2 linked regions of the Caenorhabditis elegans genome follow. The protein of the gene in region 1 purifies or fractionates together with the protein of each later gene. This does not show direct contact. Each region holds a gene or a part of one and is shown on either strand. Other genes may lie near its edges.

What was found.
Region 2: the proteins of ogdh-1 (region 1) and lars-1 fractionate together in Caenorhabditis elegans (co-fractionation; one large-scale study listed by BioGRID). This does not show direct contact.

The regions. Positions count from the first base shown.
Region 1 is NC_003282.8:4,696,664-4,706,431, reverse strand, and holds ogdh-1 (2-oxoglutarate dehydrogenase, mitochondrial), read left to right. Parts: upstream 1-2,438; 5' UTR 2,439-2,447; coding exon 2,448-2,555; intron 2,556-2,914; coding exon 2,915-3,162; intron 3,163-3,595; coding exon 3,596-3,887; intron 3,888-4,521; coding exon 4,522-5,823; intron 5,824-5,992; coding exon 5,993-6,136; intron 6,137-6,648; coding exon 6,649-6,987; intron 6,988-7,638; coding exon 7,639-8,085; intron 8,086-8,900; coding exon 8,901-9,110; 3' UTR 9,111-9,453; downstream 9,454-9,768. Other genes in the region: spe-51 (AMOP domain-containing protein), read right to left, coding at 9,606-9,768. UniProt on the Caenorhabditis elegans protein: The 2-oxoglutarate dehydrogenase complex catalyzes the overall conversion of 2-oxoglutarate to succinyl-CoA and CO(2).
Region 2 is NC_003281.10:4,180,521-4,189,895, reverse strand, and holds lars-1 (Leucine--tRNA ligase), read left to right. Parts: upstream 1-3,094; 5' UTR 3,095-3,111; coding exon 3,112-3,224; intron 3,225-3,274; coding exon 3,275-3,746; intron 3,747-4,204; coding exon 4,205-5,290; intron 5,291-5,715; coding exon 5,716-6,627; intron 6,628-6,896; coding exon 6,897-7,526; intron 7,527-7,783; coding exon 7,784-7,916; intron 7,917-7,969; coding exon 7,970-8,184; 3' UTR 8,185-8,347; downstream 8,348-9,375. Other genes in the region: ssp-28 (Saposin B-type domain-containing protein), read left to right, coding at 235-485; R74.2 (FIP (Fungus-Induced Protein) Related), read right to left, coding at 742-1,533, 1,582-1,641; putative mitochondrial carrier C16C10.1, read left to right, coding at 8,464-8,527, 8,846-8,941, 9,200-9,375.

The sequences.
Region 1 (9,768 bases):
TTTTTTTCCAGATTTTGGTACATTTTCAGTCGATAGGTGCACAAAAATTGGAAATTCGTGCGCCTATAGACTGTAATTGTACCAAAATATGCGAAAAAAATGATCTACAAAATTATTTTAAAAGCTGAAGCTACGTGATTGGAAAATTTGGCTCCAAAAAAATCGAAAATTGACTTAAATTCAGAAAATACACAAAAGAAAAACGAAAAAAATCGGTAAAGAATGAAAGATTCTTTTTTTTCAAGCGAATGTTTAAAAAATACTTGGTACTCCTGCTTGAATTCCCTCCGAAAGTGAGAGCTGGGACCAATCAGCGATTCGCTCCGGCTACTTCAACCCTCTGATTAGTGGAAAAGTGGGCGGCGCAAATCTCTGATTTGTTGAATATCTCACATTGACGAGAATTTAACCAAAATTGAAAAATCAAAAAGAATTTGGATTTTCCATAATTCCGGTTTTTTTTTGTTTCTCTATCGTGATTTTTCTGAATTTGGGTCTGAGGGTGTCGATTTTTCAATTTTTCACTGAAATCTAATGATTCAGATTTTTCAAAAAAATATCTTAACATTTTTTGGACGAATACATATGTTATCTTAGTGTTTTTCTTTTTATCAATTCAAACAAACTTCGTTAAAAATTGTATTTTAATGTTAATTAACTAAAAAAAATTAGATTTTCAATATTCCAGAAAAGTCGAAACATTCTCCGATGACACCATTTTTTGAGATGTTCTTGAAATTTTTAAAACCAAATTTCCAATCATTTTACTTCATCTTCAAATTAAAGAATCAAACTGATATTTTTGTAGGTTCTGTGATGCTTCATAAGTAGAACATATTTCTAATACAAAAGTAGTTTGTATATGTGTGTATATACGCGTATCCGCGCAGCCTGTGTTCATCAGTTTCTTTTTCTCCTACTCCTCCTACTCCTCCACCGAAATGCGTCATATTCTCTGGTTTTTTCTCTCTTTTTCCCTCCATCTCTCTATCTCTCTCTCTCTCTGTCTTTGGCCGATTGGTGCTGCTGGGCGCCCCTCGAAAGCGAGCCGCCCGTGAGAGTGTTATGAAACATTGACGAGACGCCGAGAGGCATGAGAGAAGGGGTAAACCCCCGGGCGAACTGTGTGAAGTTCTGTGCTTAATCACCCTCCTGTGGATCGTTCGATGATGAGATGATCTTGAACACGGGCGGTGTGTATGTCCACTCTTTTTCTCTCCTCTCTTCGTTTTTTTTGAATACTCTCAATTTGTTGTGTCTGCTCCTCAATTTCCTTATGCAGCTTCTTCTTTTTTGACAGCTTTATTTTGCACAACGGAAAGTTATCCTCTTGTTTTTTTTTGTTTATAGGTTTTCGCCCAATAAAAGCAAAACAAAAACCAGTTCTTCGGAAATACTTTCGATTTAAGTGGTGATGAAAAAAAGAACATTTTGTGATGTTAAATGATGACTAACAGATCAAAATTGTTGTTTTATGGCCCCAAAAAAGCTGAATTTCAGAACGAAACTTTTATGGAGGTTAAAAAATTCTTGAATATAGCTTGGTTTTTTTTAAATCTAAAACCTCCAATTTCGCCACCTTTTCCGTTTCGCAGAATTCAGAAAGTGATTTTAATTTGATTATTGTCCTATTTTCTGCATATTTGGATTGTTTTTCTCACGGGTTTTCGATAATTTAGTTGCATTTGAATCTAATTTGGACACAGAAAAAATGACGAAGTTGTGGGTTTTTAGCTAACAAAACATTTTTAAGCAAAAACCGTCATTTATTTTTTGAGCGATTTTTTAAAGTCTCGTTATGAAATTCAGTTTTTTGAGTTCATTGTATTTAGTCCTCACTAAAAAATTCAGAACGAAATGCACTAAAATCATATTTAAATAAATATTAAAAAATTAAATGAATTAAAAAATTTTTAAAAAAATTCGTCCGTCCAAATCAAATTTCTCTCATTTTTTCCCAAACTTTTCATTTTCATTCCTGAGACGTCTATCAAACAGAAGGTAATTATTTAAGTGATAGTGAAAGCTCCGTATGCAAAATTTCCATCTTTTTCCACATTTTTCGGTGTGATAAGACAGAATTGTGATTAGTGGTCTCTGTTCAAAATAATGCAAAAAATGACTAACAGATATTTTTTTCTTGCAAAATTTAAGATCTTAGCTAAACATAGCTTGAAATTTTCGAAATTTTGAACTGCCATTAACAAAATTCGTTCATTTGAGCACATTTTGGGTTTATAAATTCAAAATATCCGAAACCGTTAATCATCATCGTTAAAACATATTTACCCTCCAATTCAACGCCGTCAAAAAAAAATGTTGATGTCATTTTCCGCGTGACTTTCCTTTTTCTAAACACTATTTTTTGATCATTGATTTAAAAAAAAGAAAACAGTTTTATTATTTTCTTGTTTCTTCAGTAACCCGGGAAACTTGGCCCCCCAACCATGCATCGGGCGAGTCTTATATGTCGTCTTGCGTCCCCCAGTCGCATCAATGCCATCAGAAATGCTTCATCCGGAAAGAGCCACATTTCTGCTTCGACACTTGTTCAGGTAGTGACAAAAAATTCGAAAAAATTGGTTAAATTAATTTGAGAAGAGTATTTCAAAACAATTTTTCCCGGTTTGTGCTCCAAAAATAAGGTATCTAAAGTCTCGACAGGAAAGTTTTCTTTAATTAAATGCGAAAAGTCCGACTTGCGTTAAATGTGAAATATTCATCGATTTTTCAAAATATTTTTTCGGTGAAATATAAAAAATCGATTGAAATCCCTCATTTTTAAATTACAGTACTCTTTAAAGGCGCACACATTTTCGCATTTAACAGAAATTTGTCGTGGTGAGACCCTAGGTACCGTATTTTGAGTAAAAATTTCACGCCTGGATATCATATTAATTCCAAAATTTTCCAGCACCGCAATCAGTCAGTGGCCGCCGCCGTCAAGCATGAACCATTCCTAAATGGATCCTCATCCATCTACATTGAGCAAATGTACGAAGCTTGGCTTCAGGATCCATCATCAGTACACACTTCATGGGATGCGTACTTCCGCAATGTCGAGGCCGGAGCCGGACCAGGACAAGCTTTTCAGGCTCCACCAGCAACTGCCTACGCTGGAGCTCTTGGAGTTTCACCAGCAGCTGCTCAAGTCACGACCTCGTTCGTTTTTTTTGTTCTGATTGTGATGATGATAAACATCTAAACGAGAATTGAAGTCAACAACCTTGGAATTTTTCTTTGAAAAAACTGTTTTTCAAAGGGAAAATTTCAGAATATTCACTACAGTAATCTCAAAGGCTCCCGTGAACAGTTTTTATCAAAACAACTTTTTTTTGAAATTTTGAATCATCATGAAAGTTTTTTGGAGATTTTTAATAAAGTCTCATTAGAAAATTGGTAGTTTTAAGCAAAAAAATTTGCCCAGTGCGCCTTTAAGATTACTGTAGCGAGAAAAAATTGCAAATTCGATACATTCAATAAATGCCGAAACTAGTGTGAAAAGCTTCGTTTTTTGCGTTCTTTAAAAATTTTATTAGAAAAAATATAAAATTCACCGTAAATTTTCTAATTTTAATCTCGAAAACTGTTCCAGATCTGCCCCGGCCACTCGCCTCGATACGAATGCATCTGTTCAATCGATCTCGGATCACTTGAAAATCCAGCTCCTCATCCGCAGTTATCAGACTCGTGGTCACAATATCGCAGATCTCGATCCACTCGGAATAAACAGTGCCGATTTGGATGACACGATTCCACCGGAGCTTGAACTCTCGTTCTACGGACTTGGAGAACGTGATTTGGACCGAGAATTCCTTCTTCCGCCCACCACTTTTATCAGCGAAAAGAAGAGCTTGACGTTGAGAGAAATTCTTCAGAGACTTAAGGTGCGATCAAGGAATTGTGCAAAATGAGCCTATATTTTTCATTAAAATTTAGTGGATTTATCTGAAAATAACGTTTATTTCTGTTGGAAGAGGCCCCACGAAAAGGGGAGCAGAACGAAAAGGGGATCTGCAAAAAGGGGATCTGCGAAAAGGGGAGATACGAAAAGGGGAGATACGAAAAGGGGAGCAACGAAAAGGGGAGCTGGCACTGTGCCAAACGCACAAAACGCAATTTTTCTCACGCAACGCACGTTGATTTTTGAAATTTTCTTCTAGAAGATACGCTTAACAACACGCGACGCGTAACATCGGAGCATCGTTGTATCGTTTTCTTCGAGAAAAATAGCGTTTGGCACAGTGCCAGATCCCCTTTTCGTATCTCCCCTTTTCGTATCTCCCCTTTTCGCAGATCCCCTTTTTGCAGATCCCCTTTTCGTTCTGCTCCCCTTTTCGTGGGGCCTCTGTTGGAAAAATGGAAAAAGTTCTCAAAAATCGCCATTTCAGGCGATTTTGGACCGTTTTTCCAATCGAATTAAAAGTTATTTTCATACAAAGTCACTGAATTTTGAAAAAAGTATTGAAAAACATACCAAACTGGCTCAAAAATCAAAAATATAAAATCTAAAATTTCCAGGATATCTATTGCACCAGCACCGGAGTCGAATATATGCATTTGAACAATCTCGAGCAACAAGATTGGATCCGCCGACGATTCGAAGCTCCACGTGTCACCGAGCTCTCTCACGATCAGAAGAAGGTGCTGTTCAAACGTCTGATCCGGTCTACAAAGTTCGAAGAGTTCCTCGCCAAAAAATGGCCAAGTGAGAAGAGATTCGGTCTTGAGGGGTGCGAAGTTCTAATTCCGGCAATGAAGCAAGTCATCGACTCATCTTCGACACTTGGAGTCGACTCATTCGTCATTGGAATGCCACATCGTGGAAGGCTCAATGTGCTTGCCAACGTTTGCCGTCAGCCACTGGCCACGATTCTGTCGCAATTCTCGACTCTCGAGCCTGCTGATGAAGGATCCGGAGATGTTAAGTACCATTTGGGAGTCTGCATCGAACGATTGAACAGACAATCACAGAAGAACGTTAAAATCGCCGTCGTCGCTAATCCATCTCACTTGGAAGCTGTCGATCCAGTTGTGATGGGAAAGGTCCGAGCTGAAGCTTTCTATGCTGGAGATGAGAAGTGCGATCGGACGATGGCTATCCTTCTTCACGGAGATGCTGCGTTCGCCGGTCAAGGTGTTGTGCTCGAGACGTTCAATTTGGATGATCTGCCGAGTTACACGACTCACGGAGCCATCCACATCGTTGTGAACAATCAAATCGGATTCACTACCGATCCAAGATCTTCTCGCTCGTCTCCATATTGTACAGATGTTGGTCGTGTCGTCGGATGCCCGATCTTCCACGTGAACGTCGACGATCCGGAGGCTGTAATGCACGTGTGCAATGTCGCCGCCGATTGGAGGAAGACTTTCAAGAAGGACGTTATCGTGGATCTTGTTTGTTACCGGCGTCACGGACACAATGAGCTCGACGAGCCGATGTTCACTCAACCACTCATGTACCAACGAATCAAGCAAACGAAGACAGCACTGGAAAAGTATCAGGAGAAGATTCTCAACGAAGGAGTTGCAAATGAGCAATATGTTAAGGAAGAACTCACAAAGTACGGGTCGATTCTCGAGGATGCTTATGAGAATGCGCAGAAGGTGACATATGTTCGTAACAGAGATTGGCTCGATTCTCCATGGGATGATTTCTTCAAGAAGCGTGATCCACTCAAGCTACCATCAACCGGAATCGAACAGGAGAACATTGAACAGATTATTGGAAAATTCTCGCAGTATCCAGAAGGTTTTAATCTTCATCGTGGTTTGGAGAGAACACTGAAGGGGCGGCAGCAAATGCTCAAGGATAACTCGGTAAGATTTGAGCAAAAAATGTGCTAAATTAGGCTTAAAATCAAGAAAATCAATCAATCAAAATCTAATAAAATCCATATTTTGCGCATTTTTTTTCCAATTTTCATTAGAATTTTGAAGAGAAAACCCGAAAATTTTCAAAATTTAAAAAAAAAATTAATAATTTCAGCTTGATTGGGCTTGCGGAGAGGCTCTCGCGTTCGGATCACTTTTGAAAGAAGGAATTCACGTACGATTGAGTGGACAAGATGTTCAGAGAGGAACATTCTCACATCGACATCATGTTCTTCACGATCAAAAAGTTGATCAGAAGGTACTGGAAAAATAACTTTGTCGGTTTGTGGATTCTAAATGGCCAATCTATTATATTTTTTTTAGGTTTTCAGATCATAACACATGGATTTTCGCTGTAAAAAAAACTAGAAATAAGCAATTAATTTGACATTTTGAATGTTAAATCAGGGATGGGCGGCAATTCTACAAAATAGTCGATTGCACCATGTTGTTCCAACTTTTTTCATTGAAAACTAGCGTGAAAATATGGAAAATCACTTGATTTGTCTGGAAATAACAAATATCCATATTTTGTCACTAATTTAGAATTTAAAAAATTTTTGGAACAACATGGCGCAATCGACTACATTCCAAAATTACCTATTAATCGATTACTTCTAGTGTTTCATGTGAAAATCCATGTATTTTTTTTTATTGAAAAAAACGATAAATTGGCCATTTAGAATTTAAAAATAGTTTGAAATGAATAATTTTTTGCCCAAAAATTCTTAAGAATTTTGAAGTCAATTCCAAAAACATTTATTTTTCCAGATCTACAACCCACTGAATGATCTATCTGAAGGACAAGGAGAATACACAGTCTGCAATTCATCCCTCTCAGAGTACGCTGTTCTTGGATTCGAACTCGGTTATTCGATGGTCGATCCGAACTCTCTTGTCATTTGGGAAGCTCAATTCGGAGATTTCTCCAACACAGCTCAATGCATCATTGATCAATTCATCTCGTCAGGACAGTCGAAATGGATTCGTCAATCTGGATTGGTGATGCTTCTGCCTCATGGATACGAAGGAATGGGACCAGAACACTCGTCGGCTCGACCGGAAAGATTCTTGCAAATGTGCAATGAAGACGATGAGATTGATCTTGAGGTAGCCTGCCGATTGATGGATCGGAAAAAAGGAAAAAACTGCATTTTTTGAAACGAAATTCAAATATTTTGTTGAAAAAAAATTATGCTTCATAGTTTTTCTCCTATTTTTGGCGAAAAATTAAGACATTTTCAATTTTGACACGATTTTGTCTAAAAAAAAGGAAACGGAATTAAATTTCAGGAGCACGAAAAAAAAACTAGAAACACTTTTTTTTTGTAATTTTGAAAGAAGCAAACTATTTTTTGTGAACCTGCATAGCTATTTTCAAAATTAAAAATAAAAATATTTTTCGTTTTTTTTTTTCGTACTCCTGAAGTTCAATTTCATTTCATTTTTTTGAACGAAATTGTGCCAAAATTGAAAATTTTTTAATTTTTTATACTTTCAATTCCCCGAAGTAGGAGAAAAATGATAAATCTAACTCGAAAGGTTTTTTGATTTTTAAAAAATTTAAATTGAAAATTGAAAAGTTTCTTTGTTCTATGTCTATTTTTCGATATTTCGCAAAAAAAAAGTTTAAATTTTGGCAATTTTTATTCTTTTTAGAAGAAAAAAAATTGAATTTTATGGTTAATGCATTTTTCTCGATATTGGATACTTATATATACTTAATTTTAAAAAAACTATGAAAATATTCGAATTTTTCAGAAAATCGCGTTCGAAGGAACATTTGAAGCTCAACAACTGCACGATACCAATTGGATCGTTGCCAACTGCACAACACCAGCCAACATCTATCATCTTCTCCGCCGTCAAGTAACAATGCCATTCCGTAAACCGGCAGTCGTCTTCTCACCAAAATCTCTTCTCCGTCACCCGATGGCTCGTTCTCCAGTCGAAGACTTCCAATCTGGATCCAATTTCCAAAGAGTTATTCCAGAAACTGGTGCTCCATCTCAGAATCCACCAGACGTGAAGCGAGTTGTCTTCTGTACTGGAAAAGTGTACTACGATATGGTCGCCGCCCGTAAGCACGTTGGAAAGGAGAATGATGTTGCACTAGTCAGAGTTGAGCAGCTCTCACCGTTCCCATATGATTTGGTGCAACAAGAGTGCAGAAAGTATCAAGGAGCCGAGATTTTGTGGGCTCAAGAGGTATGAAATTTTAGAAAATTGAAAACTTTTGCAAATTGTGCTGATTTAAATTTAGAAAAATAGAAAATTTGCTTTGTAACTTAGTTTTCTGAAATTTCGACTCGCCAATATTTGTGTCTCGCCACGAAAAGTTAAATTTTTTTTTCCTATTTTCGGTTCTGGGAGTCTCTAGAAGACGATTTTTCGATTTTTCTCCGACGTTAAAATTTGCAAATTTTATAGATTTTCACAGAAAATTTACGGATTTATAGCTTTGATCCCAAAAATATATTGTTCCCGGTCCCGACACGACCGATTTTTTTAATTGCAATAAAGTGTGTGCGCCTTTATGGAGTACTGTAGTTCCAAACTCGTTTGTTTCTCGGAATTTGCTTTGATGATGTCTCCGTTTCCTCGAAATCGGCTGAAATGAGACGAAAAGAATATCCCAATGCGTGAATTTGTCGTAATTTTTGCATTAAAAAAATACGATACATGGTCTCGACACGACAATTTTTTGTTAAAAGCTAAAAAAGATGTGCGCTTATGAACGGGTGCTGTAGTTTATAACCGAAACAGTTGAAAAACTAAGAAATCGATGAAAATTCCGCAGAAGAAACGTTTGAAACTACGGTACTCTTTAAAGGCGCATATCATACATATCACATTGATAAATCGGCCGTGTCGAGACCTGGAATATTATTTTTGGTGCGAAAATCTTAACATTTCGCATCTGTGTAATATTTTTGCTGTAATTTTTAAAATTGTAAAAAATTGAAAAATCTAAAATATAGACCCTATCGAAATACAATATTTCCAACATGAAAATTTTCCAGGAGCACAAGAACATGGGAGCCTGGTCATTCGTGCAACCACGCATCAACTCACTTCTCTCGATTGACGGTCGCGCCACGAAATACGCTGGACGTCTTCCATCCTCATCACCAGCTACTGGAAACAAATTCACTCACATGCAAGAACAAAAGGAGATGATGAGCAAAGTGTTTGGAGTTCCAAAATCGAAATTGGAAGGATTCAAGGCCTAAATCTCTACGAATTGACAGATTTTTTTTGATATTTTTTGCTCTTTTTTCCTGTGTCCCCAGTTCTGTTTTACTCCTTTTTTACTTTTCTGCTCGTCCTTGTACTCTTTTCTCTCGAATTCTCACAGGCTTTATTGATGTTTTTTCATTGATTAGTATATAGGGTAGTGTGAAGTTTTAGGTTTAATCTCATCCGCCGCCCGAGTCCCCGTCCTCTTTGTGCCTCCCCGTTTTTTTCTTCTGTCATTATCATTTTCCCACACGCAATTTTAATATGCATGCTCTCTCTTCCTCATTTTCCAGTGAAGAGAGCTAAATTTTTTGATATGAACGTATTTTCCTCAACACATTTTTATTCATCATACATATTTATTCGTGCTCAATAGTAGTCCACTTGCGTAGAATAATTTTAAAGTAACTTTTTTTTGACATAAGTTTACTTTTTTGTGACATAAGTTTTATTTAGAAACCAAAGAATAAGTTCAAATACTGTCCTTTTCAACAATAATCAACTTGTGTAGAATAGGTTCCCACTAGATGCTCACTATCAATATCTCCATCATCATCGAAAGATCTTCTCGCGTATCTCAGGCAAGCCTCGAATGGATTTCCCAGTTGAATCTTTTCTCCCTTTTCTGGTACTCCAAGAGTTGGCAAGAAG
Region 2 (9,375 bases), on another chromosome or scaffold:
GAAGCTATCGTCTTTATGAACGTTCTTTCACTTTTCTTTGTGTATATGCAACTGGCATTTATCTTTCGGATGGCAAAAGATAATCGGAGATAACGATTGAAACCGAAAGTAGGTCGGCACCTGGAACGGAAGGTGATGATAATTTATGATTCACTAGGTTTTAGATGTTTCCCAGTCAGTTTTAGAAAAGGCTTAAGCTTGATCAGTACCAATTAATAACAATACTCTGTTCAGCACTTCGTTGTGAAGCAACTTCCGTGGTGACATGCATGTTGTGCACAGTTGTCAGTGAGTCTCTTGAAAGAGAGATGACACCTACTGCAACAGTTAATTCAATGTTCAAAAAGTGCGATAAAATGGGACTCATGGAGCCTGTTTGTGTGCAATTCGTGTCCGAGAATGTGAAGGAAATGTTTCAACGTGTTCGACAAGGTATTCCATCAACAAGTGTCTGTCAGGCGTTGCGATTCTGTGACCTACAGTAATCCTTTGAGTGGAGGAAATGCATTTTGTAATAAAGTCATTTGAAATGTTTATTTGATGTCGTGCATATCGTTTCTGTGGTTATATGAAGTGGAAACATACGTTTTCATTGTTGTCGGCCGTTTTTAAAAGTGAAAAAATATTTATTTACAATATTGCAGAGAATTCGAATTGCAGCAAATTGTCAATTATCCCTGAGATCCTCAATAACAAAAAATAAATAATAATTTTAACAAAAATAGTGAAATTCTTAGTTAATTAAGCCCACTTGACGAGGAAGTTTCTTTTTGCTTTTTTTTTTCGATCGTCAATCAGGTCCTCATCATCTCCTAACTTTGATTTTTTAATCTCAGTTGGTTCAACATCAACATCATCAGAAGTGACTGCCTCAGAAGTTCCAGATTTTGTGTCATCAGATTTTGATAGTTTTTCCAAATCTTCCAGCTCCAAATCTTCCAATGGATCCTTCTTGTTGATCTTTGCTTCTCCACTCTTTCCATTCTCCTCATCGCTGTCTTCATATGAATCCTCGTCTTCATCATCGTTATAACCCCCGCATCCGGTGCCACTTCCACCTCCACATCCTCCACTGTTTCCATAACCAGCATAGCTACCGTAACCCTGTGGATATCCGCCACCACACCCACCTCCTCCACAGCCGGAACCGATTCCTGGATGAGTACGGTAGATACTGTAGTGGTCGGTGTATGGCAGATGTGGATAACGGTAGGTTGCGAATGTGTACTGTGGTGGATATACATATGTCATTCCTGGACGAAGAAGATATCTTCTTGGAAGCCTATCCCATGGGTAATGCTGGAAGAAATACCCTCTTCTATAGGCGACAACTGGCCTCTTTGTGGTAGTTTGAACGGGATTCTGATTGCGTCCAATCGGATTTGGGTTCAAAAGTGGTGCACGAGTTGGAATATCGAATTTCGGTGCGATTGTTGAGTAGGTTACTTGTTTCAAATTATGGTTGGCACCAGCATTCTTGACCGGTTGAGATGAAAAATCAGAATAATCGTCACCAACATTATCCTGTCTTGCCTAAAAATTATCCATATTCGTAGGTACGAATTGTCCAAAGTAACTCACCTTTCTTTCAGCCAACGTGACCCCACAAATCGCCGCTAGAAAAATAATAGATCTCCTCATCTAGAAGTGTGTAAGATTGTTAAAATCGGTCAATCTCCATCGTCGTTAAATACTCCCAAAATCGGGTTGACTAGAAGTGTAACAAAACCTTCAAATAGCTGGACATCATCTGCCTCAAACAGATCTGGTTCTTGGCATATCGGGTAAAATTATATAAGTTTGTTGCGTAGTGATATACAACAAGGTGAGAAAGTGATGAAGACGACGGACGTCCATGGTTGCGCAATAAGTGAAATTAGAACTGGAAATTTTCGGAGATAAGGAATGTTTTTTTTTGTATATTGCGAATTAGGATATATCATGTTTTGCCTGGGTTAATCAGTAGTATCACTATGAAAATATATGATCTATTGTGTACCTTCTATTAAGAAGATGTTTAAATTTTTTGGTATTAAAATTTTGGTTAAAAAACAATTAAAAATTGGGAGAATTTCAGAAGATTTATGGAAACATATTTAGTTAAATATGGCTATTTTACTAAAATCTAGATTTCGGAACATTCTGCTTTGAGAAATTTAGATGAATTAATACAAATCGAGTCAAGTTCGTCCAGCGAAGAACCTATCTCAAGTCACTATTAAAGTCTGTCAGCCGGTATTTATAGCAAGGAGAAAGTGATGTTGAGTGTAATCCCACTTGTTGTAATCTGACCAATGTGTGTGTCCAACTTGATAAATTGGCCTTCATTGGATATGGAAAAGGAATAATTTTATGAACTAAGTATATTTTGCAAAATTCCATTCAAAAGTAGAAACCGTACTTGATTCGTTAAGAGCAAAACGGAGCATTTACGAATTTAATTCCAAGTAATATGGTGCAGTGTGACCTATTCCTGAAATCAGTCGAATATGAAATATTGCAAAAATTCCTTTTCAATATGTTTCATGTTGTAGCAGTTGTAGAATTTTTATATACCAAAAAATTTAAAGATAATTAAATTTATTATAAACTATTTTAATGTACCTTTAGCCTGTTATAGATTACTAATAATTGTAGAAAAAATCCAATTTCTGTTGTTGCTCCGAAAAAATCACTAATTGTATTTCTATAAATTGGTAAATTATTGTTCGAGAACTCGAAAAGTACATTTTTCTTCATTTTTTATAATATTGTATTATTTTATCGCCTTCTCCGAGTGATTGAAACCCCTATGAAAAGTTGGGAAAGTTGACGTGGCCGCGGTCGATGCCATTGCAAAACTAGGCCATGATAATGCAGGATTTTTAGAACGGTAGAAAATGGGCCTATTTTAAGTTGTTCCCTTTAAAATTTGAACTTTTTTATCGACAATTAAATCTCAATATCGATTTTTTTCCACAAACTTGTTTGCTTTCTAATCACTTATTGATTTTTTTCAAATAGAAACCAAGTAAATTTCATCATTTTGTGTTTTCTGATGTAATCTATTGCTTAAAAGAATTTTTTAAAGGTTTTAATTATTTTTAAATATCAGGGTAACAAATATCGACAATGTCGAAAATCAATAAGGAGCGGAAGAAGGTTGCTCAACTTCAAGAAATTGAAAAGAGCATTCAGGAGCTGTGGGAGAGCAAGAAGGCTTTCGAGGCGGATGCTAGGGATGAGTGAGTTTTTTCTGAAAATTTTGAATTATTTTCAATTTAAAAAATTTCAGTGGAAAACCAAAGTACCTCGTCACGTTTCCCTTCCCATACATGAATGGACGTCTTCATTTGGGACACACATTCTCAGCTTCAAAATGTGAATTTGCCGCCGGTTTCCAACGTCTTCAAGGCAAAGAAGTGCTCTTTCCATTCGGATTTCATTGTACTGGAATGCCAATTAAAGCATGTGCAGATAAATTGAAAAGAGAAATGCAAGATTTCGGATATCCACCAAATTTCCCGGAAGATGTTGTCGAGGAAGTTAAAGAAGAAGTTTCGGCTGTCGATGAGATTATCAAGGATAAGAGTAAAGGAAAGAAGAGTAAATTGGTGGCAAAAACTGGAAATGCAAAATACCAATGGCAAATTATGAAGTCTCTGGGATTGTGTGATGAGGAAATTAAGGAATTCTCGGATCCAAATCATTGGCTATATTATTTCCCACCACATTGCATTGCTGATCTTAAGAAAATGGGACTAAAGGTAAGATTTAAAGTGTTGAAATCATCTTAAAGTGTTGAAAGTGAGTTCTGTAAAAATAGTACTAAATTATTATGTTTTTCCAATATTTTTGATTAAAATTTAGTGATAGAATTTGGAAAAAAAACATTTGATTTATCTGAAAATAGTTTTTATTTTAGTGATTAAAAGTTGAAAATAACCTGTAAAAAAATTTCGATAATTGGTCGGTTTTTACCGGCGATTTTTTTGGCACTTTTCCAATTTTTCAACCTTAATCAAAGCTATTTTCAGATAAATGAAATATTTTTCTATATTATATCCCTGAATTGTATTTAATGAATATTGGAACAAAATGCCTTACTTCCTCATTTTTGCTTCTCCATTTTAATAATAATATAATTCTCAAAAAAATTTAACTTATCACAAAATTAAAAAAGAAACATTTCGAAATTATTAAATTAAAAATTGCCATTTTTCAGGCTGATTGGCGTCGTTCCTTCATCACCACCGACGTGAATCCATACTTCGACTCATTCGTCCGTTGGCAGTTCAACCTTCTTCGTGCAGCTAAGAAGATCGATTTCGGAAAGAGATATACAATTTATTCACCGAAAGACGGTCAACCATGCATGGATCACGATCGTGCCAGTGGAGAAGGTGTTGGTCCACAAGAATATACTCTTATTAAACTGAAAGTTCTTGATCCAAAACCTCAAGCTTTGAGCCATATCAAAGAGGATATTTATCTCGTTGCGGCTACTTTGAGACCTGAAACAATGTACGGACAAACGAATTGTTATCTCCATCCAGATATTCAATATTCCGTGTTTTATGCGACGGAAAACGAGAAACAAGTATTTGTGGCAACTGCCAGATCTGCTAGAATCATGTCATATCAAGGATTGACTAAGGAAAATGGTAAAGTCAACTATGTCCTGGGACTCGAGAAAATCGCTGGAAGCAAGATTCTCGGAGCTCCACTCTCTGCGCCTCTCGCAAAATACGAAAGAGTTTATGCATTGCCAATGTTGACTATCAAGGATGATAAGGGAACTGGTGTTGTTACAAGTGTACCATCAGACTCTCCAGATGATTTTGCAGCTTTGTCGGATCTCAAGAAGAAGAAGCCATTGAGAGAAAAATATGGATTGACTGATGAGATGGTTCTTCCATTCGAACCAGTTCCAATTATTAAAATCGAAGGACTTGGGGATTTGGCTGCAGTTGAAATGTGCTCAAGGCTGAAAATTGAGTCTCAAAATGAGAAGGACAAACTGGAAGAGGCGAAGAAAGAAGTTTATTTGAAAGGATTCTACGATGGAGTTATGCTCGTCGGAAAGTATGCTGGAAAGAAGACAGCCGACGTCAAGAAAGTTATTCAAGATGATTTGACAGCTGAAGGTCTTGCCACGAAATATGTGGAGCCTGAGAAGAAGGTGATGAGCAGATCTGGAGATGAGTGCGTCGTTGCGTTGTGTGATCAATGGTATTTGAATTATGGAGAGGCTGAATGGAAGGCTGCTGCAAAGAAGGTTCTTGAGCCACTCAGAACTTTCAATGATGAGGTATATTTTTTTAAATTATTTTTGAAAAAATATTATGTAGACGTCTAAAAATAAGAATCTTCGCCATCTCTTACGCGCAGAGGTCTTGCCACGCAGACAACGAGTTACTGTAACTTGCCGATCAAAGGGTTTTTTATTGCAGCATATTCTCTAAATAAAACCACAATTTTATCTAAAAATCGAAAAAATTTGTTCAAAGAATATCATAGTTTACAAATTACTCCAACTCTACGGACGATTTTTTTAAAACCCTTTTTGTTGAAATTGGAGTTTAATTTAAAGAATATGACGCAATAACGGCCCATTAGACAACAGAAGTTACAGTAATTCGTTGCCTGCGTCCTCTGCGCGTAAGATATGTCGAAAATTCTCATTTTTAGATGTCTATGTAGTATATTCTTATTCCGCTGAATTAAAATTTTCAGACCCGCCGTGGATTGGAAACCACAGTCGATTGGCTCCACGAGTATGCTTGCTCCAGAAGTTACGGTCTTGGAACCAAACTTCCATGGGATACTCAATACCTCATCGAATCTCTGTCAGACTCTACAATCTACAATGCTTATTATACAGTTGCTCATCTTCTCCAACAGGGAGCTTTTGATGGATCAGTCGTCGGACCTGCTGGAATTAAAGCTGATCAGATGACAGATGCTTCGTGGAGTTATGTATTCCTCGGAGAAATTTACGATTCGAAAACCATGCCGGTTGAGGAGGAAAAGCTTAAATCATTGAGGAAAGAATTCATGTATTGGTATCCAATTGATATGAGAGCATCTGGAAAAGATCTTATCGGAAATCATTTGACATATCTTCTGTTCAATCATGCTGCAATCTGGCCAACAGACACTTCAAAATGGCCAAAAGGAATTCGGGCCAATGGACATTTGCTCTTGAACAATGAGAAAATGTCGAAATCCACTGGAAACTTTATGACATTGGAAGAAGCCATCGAAAAGTTCAGCGCAGATGGTATGAGATTGAGTCTTGCCGATGCTGGGGATGGTTTGGAAGATGCTAACTTTGTGTACGCAATGGCAGATGCAGCTATTCTGAGACTATTCACTATGATCGAATGGATCAAGGAAATGATTGAACAACGGGATGCCGGACTTCTCCGAAAAGATGCAAAGAAATTCGCTGATCGAGTTTTTGCAAATGAAATGAATTCACTGATCGCTGCCACAGAACAAAATTATGAAGCTACCAACTTCAAGGATGCACTGAAAACTGGATTCTTCGAATATCAAGCCATTAGAGATACATACAGAGAACTTTGCGCTGGAATTGATGAGCCAATGAGCGAATCGCTTGTCTTTAGATTCATTGAAACTCAGGTATATTTTCAGAAAGATTTTTTTCTCAAGATGACAGATACCGATTATTAGTGTAAAAATTGAAAGAATTGTTTCAAATTCTGCAACAAAAATTCTAGAAAAACGAGAAAAAAAACAAATCAGTATTGCCGTATATTAAAAAAGTTTAGGAAATTTCTATAAATTTCTTAAAATCTATTTTCGTTCGATTAAGACTGATTTCTGTCATTTGGGGCAAAAAAAAAACGCCAGACGACACCTTTAAAAGTTTAATTTGTTTTTTATTTTAGATGCTCATCCTATCACCAATCTGCCCACATATTGCTGAATACATCTGGCAATTGCTCGGAAAAGACGGCTTGATTGTAAATGCTCCATGGCCAACTGTCGATCCTGTCGATGAGAAGCTCGCCATTGGTGCTCGTTTCATCACGGAATCGCTGGCCGAATTCCGTGCCCGACTGAAAACCTACATGACTCCAAAGAAGAAGGCACTGAAGGAGATTCCAGAAGTTCCAACTGAAGCAGTGATCTATGTTGCTAAAGAATATCCACCATGGCAGAAGACTATTCTTGATATTCTTGAGAAACAAGCCAAGGCTAATAATGGAGCACTTCCAGATAATAAAGCAATCAGTCAGCTCATTGGAAAAGAAGAATCACTCAAGAAATTCGCCAAAAAAGCGATGCCATTCGTTCAAATGATCAAGGAAAGATTCGAACAGAAGGGTGTTTCAGCATTGGCTTCTTCTAGTCCAGTTGATCAAACTTCAATTCTCAACGAGAATATTGATTTTATTATGAACGCTTTGGATTTGGATCGTGTTACTATTCGACATACTGATGAGGAGGGAATTGATGCGAATATTGTTGAGACTACAGTACCGCTGGTGCCAATGTTGAATTTCACGCCGAATAGAGTAAGGAAACATATTATAGGGGCATGGGAACATGCTCCGCCTTCTAACCATGGGTCTCGTTAGGTATTTGGCGGCAAAACCGTAAATTCAAACATTTTAAATTCGTCTCTGCAGTTTTCAAGCACGCCAAATACCTTACGAGACCCAACTGTAGGAGGCGGGGCGTTGTCAATCGGCAGTGGAGCGCATTTCCATATCAATTTCAAGAGGGGAATTTTTCTGCGTACCAATAATAATGACATCATAATTATTTTCAGCCAACAATCAAACTTGTCGCCAGAAATGTTCAAATCTGCAATGCAATGTTCGATGTTGATGTACCAATTGTTAATGGAGACAGTGTTTCAATGGTTATTCGGAAGATGAGACGCATCAGCAAGGCAATCAAACGTATGAGAAAACCCTATTCCGAAAACAATAAATTCAATTTATTATATTTTCAGCGAAATTCGAAGTGAGCCTCTGGAGATACAAGAACGCGGTTTGGGGAGATCGACAGATGATTTCGTACAGAAATCCATTCGAGGAGAACATTCAATTGTCCGACGCAGACATTTTCAATTTCGAGGCTGATAACAAGATTTCTGTGACTTCTGGAAGTGAAAAGTTCGATCTTGGGCGTACTATTGTGTACAAGGCTAACGTCCCAGAAAACTAGATTCTTTCTAAAAAATTATTTGTTCTTCTTGTTTCTAATAATATTATATCCCCACTTTTTGAGTTTTGTTGTTTCTATTCATTTTCATAATTTATACGTACCCGAATCCCTATTTCAGCTTTCACTGTTTTCTCCCTGTTTCCAAGTTGAATGAAAAGGTTTTTTTGTTATTATACTAGATTTTTGAAAACTGTGATTTGTTATCTAAGTATTTCAAACCTAATATTTTAAATGTGATTTTCTATTTTTTATCGGAAGTTTCCGTATTTCCAGTAACAGATGCCGTCACCATGTGAAAGCGGTAAAACGACAAATTGCTCCGGAGCACCTTCCTCGTCTTGTGGTGAATATTTTGATTATTACTCATTCGGGAAAATATGGGATTTTTATCGCAAAATTATGGTATCGGGTCTCGACACGATCGAATTACTTCCAAATGAAAAGTGGGTAACACATTGTTTTCTCGAGATTTTAAAGTCTACTAATTATTATTCATGTGACATCAAAATCTGGAAGGAGTGAGGCTACAGTACCTCATTTGAAAATATTTCGATCGTGTACAAACAAAAACAAAAATAAATTACTATACTTTTGCGTTAAAAAACTAAATTTTTCGAAGAAAATATCTGGAATAAAATATAACGAACAAAAATCTTTTCAGCGAAATCAGTAGAATGCTGCAAGAAGCAACTATCCGTTGGAGTACTACAACAAGTATCAGCGAGTTCATCTGGTGCAATTGTTACATCACTTTTTAGTAAGCTTCATATCAGTTGCAGATTTTTTCAATTTTGGACAGAAAAGTACGGTACCGGGTCTCGAAAGGATTGGAACTTTGCAGCTACCGTACCCAGAAGTATTTCCCAATTATAATTTTTTCACAATTTGAAAAGCATTGAAAAAACACAACAAAAAAATTATTGGGGATACGGTATCTGCGAAATATCGGTCGTTTCGAGACACGCAACCGTATATACGCCTGAAAAATCGAAAACAGAAAAGTTTATCTTTGCAGTGACTCCCTTAGACGTCGTGAAAATTCGACTCCAACAACAAACTCGACCATTTCCAAAAGGAGAATGTTTTTACTATCACAATGGTCTTATGGAGCACGTTTGTGTATCGTGTGAAGTCAGAAAACCTTGTGAATGGTATCAACGACCCGGTAATTTTCGTGGAACTGCAGATGCA